Linked DNA regions of Caenorhabditis elegans. The protein of the gene in region 1 interacts with the protein of each later gene in a pairwise test. Each region holds a gene or a part of one and is shown in the gene's direction. Other genes may lie near its edges.

The links.
Region 2: the proteins of nud-2 (region 1) and magu-4 interact in a two-hybrid assay, tested with the Caenorhabditis elegans proteins (one large-scale study listed by BioGRID).

Annotation. Positions count from the first base shown.
Region 1 is NC_003279.8:7,855,321-7,863,456, reverse strand, and holds nud-2 (Protein nud-2), read left to right. Parts: upstream 1-4,039; 5' UTR 4,040-4,053; coding exon 4,054-4,263; intron 4,264-4,348; coding exon 4,349-4,739; intron 4,740-4,788; coding exon 4,789-4,904; intron 4,905-5,170; coding exon 5,171-5,335; 3' UTR 5,336-5,701; downstream 5,702-8,136. Other genes in the region: R11A5.3 (uncharacterized protein), read left to right, coding at 1-75, 219-544; apb-3 (AP-3 complex subunit beta), read right to left, coding at 5,711-6,007, 6,183-6,604, 6,874-7,867, 7,917-8,051. UniProt on the Caenorhabditis elegans protein: Part of a complex with lis-1, which is recruited to the nuclear envelope by unc-83, where, in turn, it recruits dynein to the nuclear surface and regulates nuclear migration in hypodermal precursor cells.
Region 2 is NC_003282.8:10,006,755-10,014,890, forward strand, and holds magu-4 (PDZ domain-containing protein), read left to right. Parts: upstream 1-2,998; 5' UTR 2,999-3,061; coding exon 3,062-3,348; intron 3,349-3,708; coding exon 3,709-3,886; intron 3,887-3,928; coding exon 3,929-4,174; intron 4,175-4,252; coding exon 4,253-4,538; intron 4,539-4,581; coding exon 4,582-4,829; intron 4,830-4,879; coding exon 4,880-5,115; intron 5,116-5,159; coding exon 5,160-5,330; intron 5,331-5,383; coding exon 5,384-5,694; intron 5,695-5,739; coding exon 5,740-5,988; intron 5,989-6,034; coding exon 6,035-6,737; intron 6,738-6,780; coding exon 6,781-6,955; intron 6,956-7,145; coding exon 7,146-7,241; exon of another isoform or gene 7,242-7,291; coding exon 7,292-7,360; 3' UTR 7,361-7,453; downstream 7,454-8,136. Other genes in the region: F44D12.2 (DUF7622 domain-containing protein), read right to left, coding at 7,491-7,608, 7,652-7,767, 8,031-8,136.

The DNA of each region.
Region 1 (8,136 bases):
TCATCAAAAGACCAATTGAGGGAAACAAGAAAAGGCTTAGTGCACCAATTAAGGATAAACCTGAGCACAGAATTGGTTAGTTTTTTAAACGATTTTTATACTGTAATTATTTGTATTGTTTTTCAATTGAAAATTTGCAGTAAAGTGGAAATAACCACTAAAGTAATGTGATACTCATTCTTAATTTGATTTGTAACATTTTTACCTAATATTTTCAGCACCAGAAGAAATCACAAATGCACCAACAACTTCTCGGCTTCGCCGTGCACCAGAATTCGATGTGGTTGTCATCATGAAAACAACAAAAAAGGATAGAAAAAAGATAATTCAGACACCAAGACGTCGATCAATAAAGCTTGCGAATGTACCAATGACACCTAAAACTGCTCCGATCCGGAGACACAGCACTGGAGGAAACGCAGCAATGTCGACTCCAAAAAGAAGAAAAAGCTTTGGATCATTGGCTCCAGTTCGACAACATCGTGTCGAGACCCGGAAAGTTGTGCGGAATTTGATGGCTGTTCGACCACCACTGTGCTTCTGAGAATGATTGTTATGATCTTATGATCCCGCGTGAGCAACTAATTCCTGTGGAATATGATTCATTGGAAATCAGCATTAATTATACAAATTGTCCTCATTTTTATTGCTAATAAAAAATAACTTATTAAAAAAAACGAACCTAACAAGAATTTCAAGTTAAAAAATGGTTTTATACCTGAATTATTGTTATTCAAAGCGCTAAACGTGTATCAACTTAAATTTCATACGTGTATCGTAACCTATTCTAACTTCACAATTATCTGCAACGTGTACTTTTAAGGTGCATGAATTTATTCTGATGTGTCTCGCCACGAGAAAAGTTTATGGTAGTCTTCTTCGTTGCGGCGGCTGCTTTTCCGTATTTTGGGGAATAACTTTTTATGAATAAAACGAGCTCTCTTTATTTTTTAAAAGGTTTTCTGTATTTCATTTTTCGAAAAGAACAGCAATAATTAATTATATAATTGAAAAAGAACCGCGGCAAACAATAAATGCTACCATAAACTTTTTTCCGTGGCGAGACCCATTCGATTTAACCCGCGCGCCTTTAAATGTACTATTTTTTGAGTTCGTGTTTTTTTTCTTTTCTCCAGAATTTTTCGCTTTTTTAGAACAGCGCACTCAAATAATATCGATGTTTTTCCACTTTTTTCCTGTTTCTCGAAAAGATTGAATCGGTCATATTGCTGTGAATACGTCATGTGACACACATTCTTCTGTTGCAGAACCCTGTTTCAGTTGACTGAACTTTCTTCTTTGTCATTCCACTTCTTATCATATTCTTCACTAAAATTGAATGTTTTCTGCACTTTTCTTTAATTTTGCAATTTTCCTCGTATTTCAGGAATCAAGTGTTTCCTTTTAAACCAAAACCTTTTATGACGCAGTTTTCCAGAACATTCACGTTTTTTATTCTGAATCATGTGATTTTCCTGGGTGTGGTCATGGTTTTCAGTCACAAATTTTCAATGTTTAAAGTCAATTGATCACCTGAGAAGTATTTCGTAATTTGGCGATTTTCGAATTAAATTGTCTTCGAAAGATCGTAATCGTAGTATTAGCTAACCGAAATTAATTTGTAAAGAGAAGCCAAGTGACAATTCCTAATTGGCCAGTTGTATATGTCTCTGTCAAACTTATTGTCTGTTGCATTGATGACTGCTGGCATTCCATTCTCCTTCTTCTTTTTCATCTTCTCTTTCTCCAACGAAAATCGATTGTCTGCGTGAGAGGAATCTCTAATCCCTCCGCGCGTCCGTCACTCTCTCATCTTCTCAATCGTCTCTCGAAACTCCTCAATATTTTCTTTCACGCGAAGCTATACACGAGACTGCATCAACATTTTCCTTCACTCTCCGCCTCTGACTTCCTCAGTACTGTCTTAGTCTTTCTCCCACACCATACTGACTCATTTTTGATGGTATTTGGCGTCATTGCCTGAATTCAAAATTGTTGTACTGTTTCAAATAGGAGTCTTGCCTGTTTGCTTATTAATTTTAAATTTTTAAATTGAAATTCCCTGTTAACCTGGTTGGGTGGACGATTTCGAGATTTATCGTCATGAAAAGATGGCTTTGAAATTATTATTTTCCACTAGGCCAAATTCAAAATTCTTCGTTGAACGTTTTCAATTAATTTTCCGGGCGAGCATTGAAAATATATGTATTACTGTAGTTCTCTTAGTACGCAAGTTTTTTAATGCAGCATATTTGACGACATATTGTGTAACAGATTTTTGAAACCATCTTTTAAACTAAATGTTTTTTCTTCTTTTAATTTTCAACAATTGCTTTGAAATTTTGCACCATTTACTCTTTTACGAAATTTCTGTCTTCTATTCTTGGCAGTTTTGAGTGTTTCTAAACTCGGCATTTTCATTGCTAAACACGTATTTACTCAGCTTTTGCTTGCCCCCGAACAAAAAAGTTTTATGATCAGTTCAGTTTGTCAGAGCACCAAAATGTCAACACAGAGCTCTCGCTCTTCGATTGGCACTTTACGAGTGAAGTCAAATACTGATTTGATAGGCTTCTCAATGTGGAGGAATCTTTTGCGACGATCGCTTTCTTTTTTTGTTCACCTGTTCGTACTATTCAATTCTTCAGCAGAGTGATGTTAACCTTGATCGTGTCATGTCGACCTGAATAGGAAATAGATGAATCGTATAGTTTGTGTGTATGTGAAGCACTTTTCTCGTTCATTTACATTTTCGAATATCAAATTTAGGTGTGGTACTGCGGCGCGGGAAAAAACGCGAAAAACAGATTATACCACCCCCAACTCTCCTCGTGACGTGGCCCAGTGATTCGTGAATCCTATATTAACCGCTGAAATTGGTCATTTATTATCTCAACCGGTTTCGTGTTTCTGTTCACTAATTCGTACGATTTTCTGTGTTCACCACACCTAATCCAATTAGAACTCAACAACTCGATGAGTCATGCGTAGGCGTTTTGGAATTTCATTTTTTAAATGTTTGTTAATACATTTCATTCTCTCCAAATTCTCACTTACATCATTAGTCTCAATCGTTACAACTAAATTGACCCGCTTAACTTGAAAATCTTTCAAATAATATGCTCAATATATTCTGCATTCCTTATTCTATTTGTTATCAGTTATTATACGCGACCATTGCCGCTCCCCATTCCTCCGACTGCTGCCTATCGTGAGTTTGACCTGAATTTCGTGTGGGAAATTGGACTGTTATATGAATTTAATTTCTATTTCCGAAGTTTAATTATCGATTACTAAAATTGATTGCCATTTCTGGAATACTCTTTGAAGAAATTTACCAATTTTTCTTTTAACACAGATTTTCTTGAATGACTATTCTATTCTATTTACAAAAAGTGTTAATTTTTTCGGAATTAGTTTCTTATAGCAGATTTCTTTGAACTTCATCAGTGTATTAAACCCAAAAAACAGTAAAATTTTCCTTCAAAGTATTTTGAAATCTTCAAAGGTTATCTGATCTTAAAATTATTGCCTATTGGTGTTACTCGCACAGCTGTTCGACTTTTTGTAGCGGAAGTGCGGACGAGCTATGGGAGCAAGGACAAACACAGAGCACACGGCGGCCGGAGCAGCCGGAGCACCCCCACTTTTTTGTTTGCTCGAATGCCTTGTGTCAAAAACTTTGGAGGATTTTCCATCTTTCCTCAGAGAGATGACTTTAGCTGTCTATCAGATGATGGCGACCTTAGATATCCCGATTTATAAGAATACTGAGACTTTTCTTCAACATCGTTAAACCTCAAAAAACATCCATTTGCGGTAGCAACTAATACGTAGTTGCTTCTGTTTTCCTCCGTTCGACCAGTTCTCTTTTTCTCTCTTTCCCAAATGTCCATTCTATTCTCTCACTTTTTGTCCACACGTGGCCGAACGTTGTAAGGGTTTAGTGTGTTCACAGGCGGCATTATACGTTTTTTCCTACGATTCATAATTTTTGTTGAATATCCTGAACAATTTTCTAAACCTTTAATATTTTCAGATCATCAGAAATCAATGGATTTGTCTGAGGATCAAATTCGCGGACTACCGCACCATGAGCTTCTTGGTCATTTCTTGCAAATGCGCGAAGAGTTTAACGAGTTCCAGACAAGTTCCGCGGAAATTGAGAAAATGATGGATTCAGAATTGGATGATTTGAAAACACAACTGAAAAAAGCAGAAACCAGAGTACAGCAGATGACCACAGAGCAAATTAGGAACAAGGTTGGTACTATTTTTTACATTAAAATTGAAAAAAAAAACTTTATAAAATTTTTCAACTATAATTTGAATTTTGTGAATTTTAAAGGATCGACAGGACGATTCCCGTGTACAATTTGCACAAGTCGAAGAGCAATTAAGACGAGAAAACTCACATCTTCATGAACAATGTGAAAGTCAGAGAGAAAGAATTCGAAAACTGGAACAGAGAAACGATGTGCTCGAAACATCAGAAAGAAATAAGGAATATCTAGCATCTGATCTCGGATCGAAACTGGATCATGCTATTGAAAAGATAGCAATGTTGGAAAGTGAGCTTTATGAACGGCAAGTTGCTGCTGAAGAAATGCATAGATTACGAGAAGAACAACTTCGAACAACAGAACGGCCACGTTTGATTGTAGAACCATTGAGGAATGATCCAGAAATTCTGCCGGACGAGCCATCCCCAGGTCCAAGTAAAGAAGAGTTTAAAATGAGTAAGTATTTGTCGCATTTTGAGAATGAAAATAACTAGTACTATTTAAGGCTCGGAAGATGTTTTCATGGAAGACGTGCAGCACCACGAAGATGTTCGAATGGAGGAAACTATTGCAAAAATTGACGAAGTGCGCATCGATGACAATAAAAATATTCAAGAAAAAGTACGTAAATTTTCTTTTTTTGGTGGATTTTTGAAAGTAAATATCCAAATATTAATTCAAAGAAGACCTGCAAATTTCGATCAATTAATAGCTTCACACCTTATTTCGGAATGAAAAACATTTAGTCGAAAAACTCTTGCAGCGAGTTCTAATTCTTTTTTCCCTCACAACTATAAACGATAGCATCTCTAGATGCAGAATAGACCGAAAAAACAATATTTGCTAACCCATTTATAGTTCTCAGCCAACATTTACATAGCTTTCAGAGCCAACGAGTATCTACCGGTACGGGCGCCGGTGCTTGCATCAATCGAATCGTCAAAGACCTGATGACAAAAGTCGAGCGGCTCGATTCAATTTTATCGACGATTCGCGTGAGCAACAACTCGTCTAACAACAATTCCAGTCATCTTACAACGACACGGGCTTAACATTTCATTTTTTGGTTTTTCTCACCTTTCTCGCATACTGTGACTTTTCATTCACTCAGGGATCCTCCATTTCATCATTTCCTTCGTTTCTTTCCGTTATTATTCTTTTCCATGACATCCTGTATCATGCTTATGTTTTATTCCCACCCAATTGGTATTAGACCCCGATTTTATTTGCCCCGCCTTACTGTTGCTCAATATAAGTTCCACGTTCGCCATTCACCCACATTATTTTCCAAATTTCTAAAGTGCCTACATATTTCTAATTTTTCTGTTAAAAATTTATATATCCGTCACCATGAATAGTTAGTAAAGGAATGATTTCAAGAAAAAGTGAGCAAAATAAATAAATAAATACAATTTGAATTAATCTTTCTAGCAATTTTTGGAGACAGAGAACGCCAGCATTCGTCCTATCACCGAGTTGTCACAACAGCACTCAATCGATTTTTCTGAAACTGTCAGAATACAAACATCCTTTCGTGAACGTGTCTGGCAAGTGAAAATGGTCAAATCCGAAGAAAATGCGTTAACAAATAGAGCAATTGACGAAGGATTAATGGGATTTTCGAGTTGTATCACATGCCGATTGAGACCTCCAAGACGACTTCTTTCTTTTGAAATATCTTCTGGAGACAGACGAATTGGTTGAACTTGCTCACCATATGGGACCTAGAATTTAGGAAAAAATTTAGTTTATCTTTAAAAGATGCGGATTGTGGAATCTAGTCAGGAATTATACAAGTTTTGATATAAAATATTAACCATCAAGGGAGTATTTACGTTTTTCAATTTTTTTTGTGGAAAAAATAATTTTAAAAGCCTCTGAAACTATTTAAAAGATTACCTCAAATCTGAAATGCTTCTCATGACCATCATCTCTTGTAAGTATCCATTCTCTACTTGTCGCACTATCTCCAAAATCTACGAGCAAATCAACAGAAACTCGTGCTCCAGACGGAATATCTCCAATAATCGAGTTTCCCTTCACATCGAGACCTTCTTCAGTTTTTAATTCAACTCCTAACAAATCTCCATCGGTTTTGTTTGTGATTCCAAATCGAATAGCCGTGTATTGTCCATCATTAATACGCGGATAACTAATTGATAATATTAGCCCGTTTCCTTCAATTACATTCAAAAGTTCAATTTCTTTTTCTTCGATATGAGTTGCATCCATTATTTGACGACTTCCCGCGGCCGAGAAATCAACGTCAATCAGCAAATCGAGATCATTTCTTTCTGTTTTTGGCTTACCATTCATTGGTTCTGAATTTTTTTGAATATTAAGAATCAAATACGGTTAGGGGTACTGTAGCCACGAATAATACCGTAACTCTACAGATCTGTACTTCAAACACTTTTCATGTTTTGCATATATACCTTACCAAATGTGGTTAATGGGGTTTTTTAAAGTTTACAATAAATCCAAGATAGAGTTATTTCTTGGTATTTTCACGAATTTGTTTGTTTTGGTCCGAGATTTTACAGGAATATTCTTTTGTGCTACCCTAAAATCGGTTTTGATTGAAACTCACTTGATTTATTGAGAATGAGTGCTTGTTTCTTAGTAGATGGTTTTGGGTTAGGCTTCTCCTCTGGCTCACTATCATCCTCTTCTTCCTCCTCTTCATCTTCTTCATCAGATTCCTCTTCACTTTCTTCATCCTCATCATCTTCCTCTTCTTCTTCTGATTCATTTTCTTCCTCTTCCTCATCTTCTTCATCTTCATCCTCCTCTTCTTCATCTTCGTCTTCTTCTTCATCTTCATCATCATCATCTTCTTCTTCGTCACTATCATCCAATTTCAATTCATTCGGTGCATGTGCTTCTTTTCTTAATAACGAATCACTTGATGTTGCTGGGAATTCGGGTAGATCAATGTATTTCGTACATCTTTGATTCAACACATGTGACAGAGATCCCAATTGGAATTTATCACGTTCCTTGAAACTACTAATAAGCTCTGGTGCTGGCTTTTTCGACATGAAAATCTCTTCCATATGCTGTGAAAGAATCTCCGTATTGAACATTAGATTCCGTAAAAATCGGCATCGATCACGAACGTCATAACTGAGATCGAATCGGGCAAGTTGGAATACGTATTGTACAATCTTTTCAGAGTCATCACGCTTCACAAGCCACAACTTCACTGCAAGTTTCAGAGCTTCTAGTTTAACCAGCTCATTTTCCGTCGAAAATTTCTTTGCAATAAGCCTCAAAAAGTCTGGAGCCATGTGTAGAACTTGTTCGACATGGGTGGCGACGAGCCAAATGACACAAGCTCGCGCTTGTGCTGCAATCATATTCGGCATGAGCCTCATAAGCCTTGAAAGAAGATTCAGAGGGGCAGAAGCATGCAAAAGTCTCTTGATGACAACTACAGCAGAGCATACGACTTTCTCATCGGAAGAAGAAATCAATTGGACAAGTCCAGTCATACATTGATCTGATACTGCTCCGACGCGAACTGCACATCTTCCAATTGCCTCAACAGCTGGAGAAGCTAAATCAGACATATGAACATAGGTCTGAAAAATGAAAAAGAATTTCATATGAAAATTTATTACCCTCTCTCACCTGTAACTCTCTCAAAATGATATGAACATTCGCTTCTGAAACCAAACTTGTGAGCACATGAAGTTTTAGTTTCTTAACGAGAGAACTGTCACAGGATCGTACGAAGAATGATTTTAGGAACGGGTCGAACATCGTCTGAGAGTGAAAAAAATTGATTTTTGATATGTAAAAGTTCCATCAAAAGACAAGTACACTGAAACACAACCAAGCAGCACTCCAA
Region 2 (8,136 bases), on another chromosome or scaffold:
ATATTTTATAAAATTTATATTTTATAATATTTTACAAATATTTTATAAACAAGATGTTTGAATTAAGGTAAACTAACTTTGCAAAAAACTTAACGTTTCAAAACGAAAGAAGACATACAAAAATATTCGGTATGTATGTGGTGAAGGAAACTGGTTAAACAGTGTCCTTGTGGTCCGTATCGGAAAATTAGATTGTATTCATTGATTATCTTTAAACGGATCATATTACTTGATATTATTTTATTTCAGATACGATTATCTAATTCAAATTAATGGCAAAGTATCATCAGCGGGGATTTTTTATAGTCTAACATGACCGAATATCAATTGAACACTTCTAAATTTTCAGTCAAAGTTTTGGTAATTTGCCAAATTTCCAAAAAAACTTACTTTTGGAGTAATTTCGAGAATTGCTGCAGGTCCGCTAGAATGTACGGACAATTAATCGAAATTAAAAATTCACTTCGAAAACTATGATAGGTTTTTTTACCAAAACAAATTCAATACATGAATAGTTTTAAAATAATATCTGATTCCATTAGTCCCATGAACCACTCCAGTTTCATGAAATTACAGTTTCATTGGTTTATTTCTCGGTTATTCTGATAGAGACAAATATTACCAATTTAGAATGTAATGGTAAGTCGAGGTAATATATATATTTTGATGTAAAAGAGATTTGAAAATCGGTACCTGTTAGGACACCGCATTAGCCAAATTGATCCATGTGTTCTACATAAATTTGCAATTTAATACAAGTTTGAAAAAACTTAAATCAAATTCTCGACCTACCATTTCGCGTACTTTCGCTTCGAGTTTACACCGTATTTAATTTCAAATTTGGGTTATAACTTAAAGGGTGGAGGGATTTTGAGAACTCACTACAGTATGACAAAAAAATCACACACTCCTGAAATGTTTCTTTGGTACAGTTGCACATTTCATTTTACCGTAATACCGAGTAGAAAATTTCAAAAGAATTACTCCTATTTCAAGATTCTAGATTGCAACGATAATCAAAACAATATTAATAACTACATGTGTTCCTTGTGGTATGCTTCTCGTCCTCTAGTTCTCATAAAACAAACATGGTCAAGTAAGATTCCAACGTGAATGAGATGAAGAAGCAGTAGAGAAACGAGCGTGTTTGTCCATGCGTCCCATTCGTACAGTTTCTTTGGTTGTCTACCTAAACTCTCTTGTTTTCAAACACTATTTCACCCACCTTCTCCCGCATTTCTCTTTCACTTTCCGGGAGGAACTGTTCGTTCGTCGTGCGCCCATCGCAACCGACCTGTATCTGTATGTATCCTCTCATTTCTCTCTAATAACCTACTTCTCTTCAATCTACTTGGATACATGATTTGTTATGAAATGTTTTATCTTTTATTATTTCATGAAGTTAGAATGTTCCTTATGAAATTGAGTTTACCATCAGAAGTGGATTAGAATTTAGTCAATGGGATTTCAACTACATTTAAATCTCAGCTATGTATTAAAGATAAAATCATTTTCACAGAAATTTTCTATGAATTGTTACTGATAAACGTCTATTTGTAAATTGTCAACATGCTGTGAAATACACCTAGGACTACTAGCCTGAAATTATTCCTCAACTCCAGTGATAGGTTTCTTTGGTATATCACCCTAAAAACTAGTTACACCTGCCTCGTAGGCACGAAAGTAGGCACCCTCTATTTGCATGGAAGCCCTATTATATTATAGGTAATTTTTCAGATTCACAAGAATGACATGTAGTTCAAGTTCAATTAAAATTCCTACATAAAATTCCCTACTCCTTCTCCTACTCTTTTCATTTTTCTATTTCATCTCAATTCAATTTGAACAAACTTCAAACAATTCGTTTCACACATCACAAACATTGTAAATACACATATATCGTTTGTTGAAAAAAGTCATGTGGGTTTTTAAGGTTAAAGTTTAACCGATTTTATTACACTATCTCTCACGGTTGAAATATTCAAAATAATATTTTCTTCTAGAAAACAGCGTTTCTACATATTCTGTTAAAGCTAACGGCCTAAATTTTAAATCGACTCTATTTTTAAAAAATTGATCAGGTTACCAACTAGCGATGTTTTATATTTTGTTCAAAGGTAGGAGCTCCAAAGTTTGTCAAAAGTCAAAAAAAAAAGCTTAAAGTTTACCAAGAGCCAAGTAAAAATTTATATTATCGAAACATGGAAAAACGTATCAAAACATAGTTTTTTGTTAAGATTCTCTGCCTTGTATGTTTGTATTTGAGGCGATGATGATGGCAAGACTCGTATGTTTATTCTTTTCCTTTTCCTGCAAACTCGTCTTTTAACGGATTATTTCGGACCCATGCACCGCCCATCTTGACCGTATTAAGACAGTTTTTGTGTGAATTTTCGTTGGATCGAAACACTGTGAGTATTGTTTTTATTTTGAAATATATGGATCTTATAATCTGAATGTTCAGTTGGAATATCGCAGTGTGGCTTTTGATCTCCGCACACACTTCATCTGATTGGTATAAAAATATGTGGAACAAATTACTGATTATTTTCACAGTTTTCATTTTGAAAGAAATTCAAACAGTGAGCTTAGTCAGGTTTTGGGAAAATCGTTATCGAAAGTTGAGTTTTTCAGTATTTCTAGTTTTTTTAGTGTTTCGTTTGTGGTATATGTTCCTTCATTTCATTAGCAAAACAATAACGTTGGTCTGTATTTCAAAAATCTGTCATGTATTTCCAAAAGAATATTTAAAAACATCTCGTTTCTATTTTCAAGTGCCTCTATTTTCATTCTTGTAGTAACCTTCAAATTCCAACTAATTTTAACTGTTAATTGAAGGAAATTTCTTCAAATTGTGTTATTTCTAATTCACCCGTCTTCTTCTTTTCCTCCATCTATTCCATACGAACCGAATGAACAAATCAGTGTGATATTCCTGCGCATTCGACCGGTTTCTCACTTATTTTCTTTCTATCTTTTCTCCTATTCCATCTTCTATAATTAGTCCTTTCCGTATGTCGTCCAGTTGACCCATTTCTCCGTTTTTCATTCAGAATTCTATATGGTAGAAGTGGAAGCAAAACCGTCGAGTTTGTCAGTTGAAGAGGATGAAAATGAAAATGAAGAGGAAAAGCTTGAAGATGTGGAAAAAGAGAAATTAGTGAAACAGTTAAAGTTTGAAAAAGCAGAACGAAGACGGATTGCAGAGGAAATGGAAAAAGAGATTCGAGAAGTTGAGGCAAAATGGATGGAAAAAGTTAGAAAAGCATCTGAAGAGCGAGATGATATTGGAAAGAAAATTGATGAGTTTGAAGAGAAAATTGATAGTCTACAAATACAAGTACATAGGTTAGTTCATGATTTAAATCACTAGAAAAGCTCAAAAATGTTTATTGAAAATTAAAAAGACCTGGAATTGGTACCAAAATGTATATGATAAGTGGTAGTTAACTTCCTGAAATTTCGAAATAAAATCAATATGTCATTTTTGAGAGAATTTGTTGGTGCACTTTAAACTAGAGAATTGTCGATCTGAAACTTTTCGGGCCAGTTTTTAATCATAATGATGTTGTAAAAAATTTGAATGGCTTTAAAAATTTGAAATTCAAGTTTTTTTAAACGTTCGAAAATAATTTTCAGCAGAAGAAAACTAATAAATATTTAAAAACCATTGGAAAATGGCCCGTTATGAAAAAAAATATATTTCAGAAGTGAAACATATAAAATGGAAATTGAAGAAGCGAACAAACGGCTACGGTTACAATATGAAGCTCTCCAGAGAGATTATGAGGAAACAATGCAGGAAAGAAGTATTGTATTAGAAGAAAACTCTCGTCAAAATGAAGAGAGGGATCGACTGCAAAAAGAAATTGAAAAAATGAAAGAGGTTTGATTTTACAATGACAATCAAATTAAAAAAAAATTTCAGGATTCTGAAGAAGTTGCTGCATTAAAACAGAAACTTGAAAATACAAGAAGACTCTTGAAAGTCAATATGGAAGAAACTGCTCAGGCAAATGCTCGAAAAGAAGCTGCAATTGCAAGGCTTACAGAAGCAGAACAAAATGGAGCTAGAATTACAGAAGAAAGAGATGAAGCTTTGAGAAAATGTCAACAGACAACTGGAGATGCAATTGTGGATATTTGGAATACTCATTCTGTTCAAATTAATTTGGTAAGTTGAAAGAAAACTCATTTCAATCGTTTCGTTTCAGACAGCCAAGATAAAAATTAAAAACGAAATTAATTTCAGCCCTTCAACAAACCAAACTTGGGAATTATGCTTGGTGGAGGCCGTACGGACGATGGTTCAATTGTTCATGGTCCAATATATGTTAGACAAATTGCTCACGGTTCTCCATTTGATAATGTATTGAAAAAGCTGGATCATATAATGATGGTCAATGACATATCTGTAACAGATATGGACGAAAGAAGTGTAATGGGAATGTTATCCAACTGTCATCACATTCATCTTGTTATTAGAAGAAGATCAAATTGCAATAAAATTAGTGATGTTTGTCTGCCATTGAACTATGGTGAGTTACTTATTACATTTAAGAGTGTAGTTTTACATTTCAGGTGTAGGTCTTGAACTATCCAATGGAGTATTCATTAATTCCTGCGAACCAAACGGTGCTGCTTCTCGTAGTGGATTGGCTCCAGGGCAACGAGTTGTTCATGTTATGCACACTCCTGTTTATGATGCTAAACATGCTGAGATGCTAATTAAAAATTCTCGAGAGCCTCTAGTCATTGGAATTCTTCAATCTACTAAACGAGGTGATCATAATGGAAAGGATAAACATCGACAAACTATATTTTCGAGGGTAAACCTTCGTTATAAAATGCTAGTGAAACTTTAGTATTCTTGTTTCAGTGGTTCAGTCGAAATGGTGGATCTGATAAAGAGCGAACTGTTGTTGCAAAAGCGAATATTGATCGTTCAAATGATCAAGTTCTTCTTCGTCAGGGATCTCTGCGAATGCCACAAGCTTCTCCAGCATCAATGAGTCCCTTGGTACGGTATGGTTCTCTACGTGCTCCAACCTATTCAAGTAGCATTGATCATACAAAATTAATGCTGGATGCACTGGATAAAAGATTCAATGCAAAGTTAGTTTCCTTCAAATTTGATTACTACAAAGTTGAATGTTCAGATCCACAGCGCATTCTGAAATAAGTTCATCTTCAACAGCCGCTCCAACAGCTTTATGGAGCCCATCTTCAGTTAATGAAAAAGATCTCGTATTTGCTGGAACCAATATCGAAGGAGTTCCAGTATATGTTCCTAAGAGTACCATATTTAGCACACCAACGTCACCTGTGACGTAAGATTCTTGACATTTTTAGTCAAAAAAAAGAAGAAAACTCTGACTTTCAGAAGACTAATCCGTCAAAATAGTGAGCAAAAACGAACAATGTCTCAAATATCATCTCATCGAGGAGGATGGGATGGAAGAAGCTTTTCATCGAACACGACAACTTCAGATGCTCGTCCATATTCTATGCACTTCACACCTACATCATCAACTATAATGGAAGGAAAACCCCACAGAAGATCAGCTGTTTACAGTCCAAGTCATCCACCAGTATATCCTACAATTCGGGATGACTCTATGTCTTCTGTTATGTCTTCGAGTAACTCCATTCGACTTCCAAGCACAAGTTTTTCCAATCAGTATCCTAATAATTGTAGGTTTTCAAAAGTTAACTGCTGTAGTCTAGAAATTGTTTCAGCTACCTGCAGCTTGACTGGAGGGAGTGGAGTACCTCCACGTCATTGCATAAGTAAAGATGGAAGTGATTTTTCAATTTCAACAACTGGAAGTGCAATGCACAGTTACGCTGAGGGAAGATCCAATAAGAAATATCACTTGCCACGTGGAAATCATCACTCTGAATCTCTTCTTGTAAACCGTTCATCTCAACCGAGACTGGTCGAGGTTCCAAGAAGTGATGTAAAACTTTGTGGTGGAAATGCGATTGGTACGAGAAAGCAATTCATGTCAAAATAATCTCCGCTATATTTTAGGTATCCTCGCTGAAAAATCAATTGGTTCTGACCTTCTCGAAGGAGATCTCATTTTATCAATCGATGGAAATTGCGTTCGAAATACAACACTCGAGTGTGCAATGAATACTTTATCAGCTGATAATTCGGAGTTAACAGGTCTTCTAGTTCAAGACGGTGGAGATCGATTGAATCGTTTGAGACTTGGAGCTGACGGTGACAGTTTCTTCCTTCGTGTTAATATCGATAGATCAATGGAGAACAAAGATGAACTGGATTTAAAATGTGGTGATGTTGTTTTCGTTGACAAGACTATGTTAATGGGCAAAACTGGAAGATGGAGAGCATGGAAAGTGGACAAAGAGGGACGACAAAGAGAACATGGAGCTATTCCAAGTTCAACGACTGTTTATCAGGCAATTCGAGCTAACAGATATGCAAATCCGTTCCCGAAGAAGGCTTATGAGTGGGTTGAGAAGTTGGATACAAAAGTGAAACGACCGGTTCTTTTGTTTGGAGCAGTTGTTGAGCCTTTCCTTCAAATGCTTGTTGATGAATCTGATAAGTTTTCAATTGTTGCAAGAGAGTCTTTAACTGCAAGTTTGGATGAAGTATCGGCTTTATTGAAGGATAAAGTATTGATTGATTCGAAACAAAACGATGATGTTTATGATCTTTATCACGTCGTATCAACTGCTCATATTATGGATATCACGGCTCAAGGGTTGAGTTTTCAAACATTTTCATAGTTATGCTGAGATTTTCAGACTCCATTGTGTCCTCCAAGTTGATCAGTCTGCAATTGATCGATTGAAAAGATGTAGAATGTTCCCTATTCTTGTGAAGATTCGATTCAAGTCAGTTAAACAGTTAAAAGATGTCAATGAACATATTTGTGGAGAGAAAATCAGTTCAAAAGAAGCCAAACAGCTTATTGAAAAGGTACGGTAATTTACGAAAACATAATTAACCCGCCCGGTCTCTACCGTCGTCTCATTGCCTCTCATCCAAAAACGCAGCGGGCAATTGAAGAGGCGGATCAGAGGCTCTCATCGGAGTCTATAGAAACTTTTCACAATACTTTTTCGAAACTTTTCAAAAAATTTTCGATATACCAATAATTAATTTTCAGGATTTGAAAATAGAAAAAGATCTTGATGGATCAGTTACACTTGTAGTGCCAAGTCATAATAATGTCAGCTTCATGATGACTCACGCTGTTCTACAGGTAATTATTCTTTCAATTCGTGCCGCACTTAACTTTTTATTATTTTTCAGCTGAAAAAAATAATTGAAGACGAGCAGAAAAAAATCGTATGGGTTCAAAGAAAAGTCGATGAAGAATAAATAATATTGAGAAAGAGAACATAGAATCTCCGGTGCTTTTATTGTTTGAAAATGAAGTAATTTGAAGAAATATAAATTTGTTCATATGAAAATATTGAAAGCATTTGTAAAAATGAAAGAAAAAGGTGGTTCAGTGGAAAAGGCAATAATTAATTAGAAAAACGATGGGAATGGCAAGAAAAATCGAGGATGACGAGCGAGCGGAGTCGATGTAGAAAACATTGAACTCTCGGAGATTTGATATATTTCTGAAATAATCAAAATTATTTCTCAGTTGTCAAGAGTCACAACCTGTATAAATATAGCTCAGGTGGCCAAGAGAGTTCAGCTGATTTGAGATCAGCATTACAGTAAGATTGATCACAAATCCATTGCTCTAAGCCAGTGTATGCACGGGTGTAGCCAATCTGAAAGCAATAATTCGTAAAAATCTGAAATCTGATAATAATCGTTTAACGTCTAATTACATCATCAGTTCATTTTTTAAAGTTCTTTAAAAATTATCAGAAACATGTTCGAAATTTTATCCAAAATTTTCATAAATTCGAGTCGATAATTATTTTCTGTTTTATTTAAGGCTCAAAAGGATTTTTGAAAAATTATGTGGGTTTTAGATACTGCAATTCATAATTTTTTAATTAAAAATGTTTACACAAAGACAAAATCTAACCTTCAACGGAGTGGCACCCTCGACAGTCACACTGTTAACACAACCTCTGAACACTTCTCCACGGGAAGTCGCACTTATGAAACAGAACTGTCCAATACAAGAACTT